Drosophila melanogaster: one gene and its partner. The protein of the gene in region 1 interacts with the protein of each later gene in a pairwise test. Each region holds a gene or a part of one and is shown on either strand. Other genes may lie near its edges.

What was found.
Region 2: the proteins of CG8620 (region 1) and AMPdeam interact in a two-hybrid assay, tested with the Drosophila melanogaster proteins (one large-scale study listed by BioGRID).

Annotation. Positions count from the first base shown.
Region 1 is NT_037436.4:7,155,950-7,159,382, reverse strand, and holds CG8620 (uncharacterized protein), read right to left. Parts: upstream 1,284-3,433; 5' UTR 1,137-1,283; coding exon 573-1,136; 3' UTR 509-572; downstream 1-508.
Region 2 is NC_004354.4:13,838,379-13,842,136, forward strand, and holds the start of AMPdeam (AMP deaminase), read right to left. Parts: upstream 1,634-3,758; 5' UTR 1,393-1,633; coding exon 1,188-1,392; exon of another isoform or gene 1,184-1,187; intron 1-1,183.

The DNA.
Region 1 (3,433 bases):
CTGCAAGGAGCAAACTCACAGCAAAGTCTACAAATCAAAAGATGAAATTAACTTAATAGATCACAATCAAAACGAGAACAAACCGAGTAATTATACGAGAGGGAGAAACAATTTTTATGTTTAACATATAATTAGCACAACAACTACAAAATAAAAACTATTAATGTAAAAACAAACGGCATTTAAAAAATATAAGAAATATTTAAAAATAACAAACGATTGTTTATTTGTTAATCGGCTGATGGAGGTAAGATAAAAACTTCTTTTTACAGTTCCAAAACTTTGAACTTTATTTTCTCAGAAAAATGGTTCAAATATTTCACAACTTTGGTAAATATGAATGCTAAATTAAATCAGCATTTCATCAACGAATGTAACTTATTATCTTGAATACCTGAACAGTATGTATTATTTGCACCCAAAATAAAGATAAGCCCACCCTCCATTAAAAAGAATTCATTTGAATATTTTTTTCATATTTTATATATTTTATTATTTTTTTTTTTTTGGTTTTTTTATGCGCACTTAATATATAAAATGAATATTGAATAATACTGAATGAAGCCAGATACTCACACTGAAATCCGAACGGGCAGAGCCAGGGGTAGTGCTCGAGATCGTCGGGAATCGGTGTAGGACCTGGAACGAGAACGCCCATGAGAACGACCACGCGAGTGACCACGGGAGCGACCGCGAGACCGGGAACGATCCCGCTTGCGGTCATCTCGCGTGTGTCTTCTCCGCGGCATGTGCCCCTCCTTCTCCGCCAGGATCAGCTCGCAGTCACTGTGGTCGGAACTGGAACTGGAAGATGAGCTAGTGTGATGACTATGACTATGATGTTTGCGTCCTCTGTGTCGTCGTTTACCTCCATCGGAGCTGCGGTGCTTGGACTTGGTCTCCTTGATGGAGAGTTGAGATTCCTGCTGCTGCTGCTTCTGGATCTGTTTCATCACATCGTTCAGCATTTTCTGGGCCATGTTGGCCTTTCGAATGAGACGCTCCATCGACGGCAAGGCCATGTCCTCGACTTCCACGGGCGTGGCATTTGGCAATTGGCCGCGGCATCCTTGACATGCATCCGGCCCTGCATTTGCCGCAGTTTGCTCACGTGCCACGTTATCGGATTGCGACATTTTTGCACTAGTTTACAACTGACCCGATAAGAAATTCACTCAACACTTTAATTACTGATTAACTACTGTTTCTCTGAACTGGATATAACTGCTGCGGAATCTGTTGCTTATGTTTCGACTGCTTCACTTGAACACTTGAATTTGACTGGCTTCTGCGGCATTCGGTCGATGAGCTTTTATAGGCAACTTTGGCGCCAAGCTAATCGCGACTTTCGGACTGTAAACATTTGCCTTTCTTTATCAGTCACATACTCATACAAACCACACGATAAATGTGACGTCATCTGAGCTATTTTTAACCAAATCGCATTCATGGGTTTTTGGGAAATTACTTCCATTGATCACGTGTTTTTAATGTTACATAATTTCATTGCCGAACGTAACCTCAAACATATTTCATATTTTTGCGAAATTCTTCTTACTTTTGTATTTCTGCATATTATATGCATTATAAATATTCTGCGTATTTTTATAAGCATACCTTTTATTATTTTTTACGATTTTGTGAAATATGACATTATTTTGATATAATTTTAATTTTGAATTTCGTCCAAGTGTGTAATTTTAAAACAATTATTTTATCGTTTTAAATCATCGAAAATTTTAAGAATATAAAGTATTAAGAAATTTACACAATTTTTTGAAAATGTTTTGGGATCTTAATAATTGCATAAATCAGGTTTAGCACATTATTTTAGAAATACTAAACGGTTAAATATTTTACAGAACTGCTATTTAATTTTAAGGTATAAGACTACGTATAAGACATTACCGCTTGAGACTAGTATTTTTATTGTGGTATTTTCATGATTGCTTTTGAATTGTGCCCGCCAAAATATGCAGTCTTAACCACAAGCGGTTAAAATCATTCCTTACGTTTACTTATATTTAAAAATCGACAAAAGGTATAATAATTCAAAACTATTAAAAAATTTTAAATAAAACTAAACGAGTCTAAGTTTTCTTAATCAAAATAGCTGTTAATATGGATAAGATATATTTGGCGCATCCAATAGATACATTTAACCGCTGAAGAGAATTAACAGTGTGATACGCCAGACTGTTAACAGACTGTTAAAACGCGATTTCCCGGCTTTGGTATTTTTACATTACCATCATTTGGTTTCTCTGATATTTTAAAAATCTATATAAGCAGCTCGCAACGCATTCTCTCTGTAATTTTTCGGGAGAGCGCAGCAGCGCGCGCTGTTTTTTCGGTTACCATTAAAAAATATTATTAAAGAAACATCGTTATAACTTTAATGCCAACGGAGTTGCGGCAATTGAAACTGATTTTTTAAGCAAACGAACAATAAATTCGACGTGGAGTGTGCTTCTGCTCGCCTACATGAAGTAATAGCGATGTATATTATGATTTAGTAAATATAAATCGATTTAATTAATATTTAAACTTGTTGTTTTCCGCGAGTGGGCGCGTTTTGTTACCAAGCCGCTATACGATTTTCGTTTTTCCGACTTTCCTGCGCGCCGAACGGGTTTTTCAACGAAGCCTTGCTGTCTTTTTCCTCGTAAGCAGCAAAAACAAGGCTGAAAAACTAAATTAAAGCGACTCGCTTCAGCTGCAGATTAATCGATGTGCGGCTATAGACTTTTAATTCGCAGATTCATCATCGATTTTTCCTTTGGGCTCAGCTGCAGTGCGCTAGTGTACGTGTATGTGCGTGTGTGTGAGTTGGTCCTGACAATACAAATAAGCCGTTGTGTTAGGTAAACGGAACAACAAAAGGAAGTGAACCAGAGAGAGAAAGAGAGAGAGGAAACGGCAGGACGATACCGAGTCCTTGAGCGATCATTCATGCTCTTCTTCTTCTCCAGCTGCAGCTGTCACGAAATTTCGCGCGTGCACGTGTATGTGTGTGTGTGGGAGACAGGGAGAACGCCGAAGTTAGTAATTTCTCTCCACTTCTCAGTGTTTGTGCATTCAATTTGCACAAAATTGAAGCGACGCGCTAAATTCGCAAATTTCCGTCCGCGAATTGCCATCCATTATTTTGCACTCCCCCCCAAGAGAGCGAGAGCAATAATAGAATTATCAGGCAAAGCAAAAAAAAAAATCAAAACTCAAGCGAAAAGAGAATGCCCTGGGAGGCCGTAATACCAATACCGCGACCCTCTGACATTTCCATCGTCGCCCACCAAAGGAACAACAACTGAGCGACAAAGACAGCAACAATCCGACAAACAAACAAACAAAACAGCAAACGAGCGAATCAACGAACGAAACTCCAGCAGCAGCCTCAACCTCCTCAACCGCTGGCACAGTTTTCCTCCTTCAA
Region 2 (3,758 bases), on another chromosome or scaffold:
AAATTATTAATCCGAACTAACTGATATTCAAGATCATTTGAATAGATCACTTGGATGTTTGGTAATAATTCAAATATAGATTATAATAGCTAATATTATTTATTTTAATTGTTCTTTTATATTTTTTTTGCAGTGTAAAACAGCACGAAAGAGACGGAAATGGAGGAGAGAGGGATTAGCGGAGATAGCAAAAATACTGGCAAAATCAAAACACGCACTCAAAACACAACAAACTAGATGAGGAGACTGATTAAAACGATCCGAAGTTGGAATACACTTCAAGGTCACAAAAACAACAATAATCTCCTATCATCAAAGGAATAAACCCGCCGCAAAGAATCATATTTAAGTGGGCTAATTATCTTAACTAAAAAGCTTATTATTCCACAAGGCACCGGGATATATTCGCAGAAACTTGATTGACGCAATCTAAACTGATTTATTATCATTTTATTTTTGTATATTTTGAAGTATGTATCTTAAGAAACCCAAGTGCTATACCACTTTACAGGGTATTATAACTTTCCTATATTTCTATATGGGTTAGTGCGACTCAAGAGATGTTGCGACTGATTGGCAGCGCAGCGACAGAGGATTAGCGCTACACTGAAACAATGCAGTGGTACATACAATAATAAATGAATTAAACAATTTTCAGGCAACTGATGCGGCTTGTGGGCAATATTTGCTTAATAAAACAAGCATTGTTAACAAGTTAAGAAGTTCTTAAATACAGCTTGTAACCAAAGATCATATCTGCATCCACACAAGGCATTTCTTCGAGTGTAGCGAACCGTGTGAGTTATTGCTACAGGTTTTTTTTTTGTTTTGAGTGAGAGTGCTTTGCTGTGTGCGTGGGAGAGTGAATGTCATTTGCTTTCTTTTTGCAGCAGAGAAAATAGAGAGAGAGAGAAAGACAAAGACAAAGACATCGAAAGAAAGAGATGTACAAAGAAACATTCAACTTGGTATAATATTGTAATAGGTAAGCGATGATTTGCAAGAAATAAGTTAGCCCATCTTCATTGATTTAAGGCCATACGTTTTGCTACCAACTGGACTGCTGTGTTTTCGCGCAGTGCACGAGGTCAGTGGGTGGCGGTTGGGTGGTTCGTGTGGCTCGTGTGGCTTGTGTCGTCGCGATGCATTCACTTACATGGGCAGCGGCTGGGGAACTGGCGACTTACATGTCGCCCTTAGGGAACTCGGCTTTTGGGGCATGGACATGGAGGTGCAGGCGTTGAGGGACTTGCCGCTGGCCTTGCTGCCCAGCGGACCGGCCGCATTGGTGGCCGCATGGGACATCATCGATCCGTCAAAGGAGTCCACATCCTGGACGCGCAGCTCGACGGGCGAACCGTCCGAGGTGCTCAGCATTCCGCGGTACGACATCTCGGCAATTGAGATCCTGGATCCTGGGATCCTGAACGGTCTATATTGGCTAACGGCTAATCCAAATGAGTGTTTCGTGTTGATTTGTTTCGATTTTTCTCCGATGTTTACTGATTTGTGTGTTGTGAAAATCTTGAGTGTTTGTGTTTTTTTTATTTTTGTTTTGTTTTTTATGTAATTCCCCCGGTGACAGGTGTCGCCGCTCTGCTCGATATTCTGCTCTGGGGCAATGTCTTTGGGCAACTGTCGGTTCGGATCGGTGGAATATATATACCGCCCGCGATCGACTGCACTTAATTTAGTTTGAATTCCGTTCGACGCAATTCGCGCATCTCCTACGCGTCTGTCTTTCGCTTTTTTCTTTGTCTACGCCTCAGTATTTTCCTCTGCTTTCTCTCCTCTCTCACTCTTTATATAGTTTCACACCTCTCCCGATCCCAGCGGATCCAAAGTTTATATATCGGGTAAAGTTGGTAGGGAGCTTTCTAGTCACTAGCAAACACGGCTGCGGCACAAAGCTCGGAAAGCCCACAATGTTTGCTAATTATAAACAATATTTTGGATAAACAAACTGCATATAGCCACGCCGAATGGGTGGAACGCCAAAGGGGGTTTTCAAGATCAAAGCTCTTCGAACCCAGTAAAAAAAATAGATATATACATATGTACAAATTAGACGATTAACAATATGGCATCGTCTCTAACTTTAACCTCTTCTGATTAGCTAAGAATGGGCATGTGATTTAAAGGACTAACAGTTTTTCCATTTATTGAAATTCGGAAAAACGACTTTTACCAAAAATTTGATATTTACAAACCGAATTTTCGTCATAACTTTGGTAAAAATGGTCATATAGATAAAAGAATACCTGTTTTGAGCAGCTAATTACCAATGCTAACTAATTCTATCACTTTTTGACGAATTTTGGAAAAAAAATTTTTTCGTAAATTTTTGCATTTTTTGTAAGGGGTACCATCATCAAAATTTGCAAAAAATTGCAAAAAAATGGAATTCTAACTTTTAAATACAGTTTGATTGGAAATTTAATTACGAACTCAACGATATATGACATTCCATATTTGGAGCACTAATTTTCAAGTTTTGGTCAAAAAATGGATTATTTTTATACCCAAATTCAAAATTTTACCATTTTTGTAACCCAAAATTTGCGAAAATGGCAACAATTTAGAATTTTTATATTGAAATACTAAATGAAAAACTACTTTTCAAACTCAGCGAGGTACGATACATCATTTTAGGTAAATTTGTATAAATAATTTGGCCAAAAGGCGGACCTTATTGGTCAAAAATGCATTATACTGTGCCACTCTTTAAATTGATTATGGAATTGGTTATTTCTCAACTTGAAACCACCTATATGCTCATTTATCATTGTCAAATACATAATTTCTGCATAATACTTGTAGACCACCAAATTAATGATCCATTTTGGCGATGTTTCGATCGAATCGATCGACAAGTGATAAGTACGATAAGGCTGCCTCCTTGACACACCACTTCAAATTCGTAGTTTGCTATTCCGTATTCTAGTCTGGTAACTTTCCTCTATTAGGAGGGCTCGGCTCGATTTGTTTAACGCCCTGTCAGAAGTGGCTTATCAATAGCCCCCAGATGGGAGCCAAAATTGGAATTGGAATTGGAATTGGCAATGGAGTATCGGTATCGGTGGTTAGCGGTGGGTTGTTAATAACCCATGTGAAGTTTTTTCAGCTTTTTTTCTTTTTTCTTTGATAGCTTCATAGGCCAATTGGTTTGTTCAACCTGGTGGTATTGTGCGCTTTTCGCCATGTCTGCAAGTCATTGTCAGTTCATTTGCCTTATTTGCCGAGTGTGCGATATGCAAACATTCATACATATACTATGCAAATATATATGTTTATGTATATATAGATATATATATTCATATGTATATATTGAAAGATGGGCATTCTTATAGACGTGCATATATGCGTTTGTTTATCTGTTGTACGTTTCAATTTATTATTCGATTGTGCTTAAGCTCATTTCATTTTATCTCGTTATATTTTTGGCAACGCTCTTTGTTTTGTGTTTATTGACCGAATTGCGAACTTATTAATTGCTGCGTTCGGGATTTTCGTGTTTTTTTTTAAATTTTTCTTGGGCAAAGTGCCCGCTGAGATGGCCACTATTGATTTTCACATGAAAATATGGCCGTGACTTGCGTAATGGCAGCCAGGAAAAGTCGGCAAAAGAACGACTTTAGCCGCGGCTTTACTTTCGACTTTCCGTTCGATTCGACTTCGCGCCGACAACTGATTCTGATTTTCCACTCAGTTTTGGTCGGTTTGATTGGAAAATCTGCCACACGTATATGTTATAATAA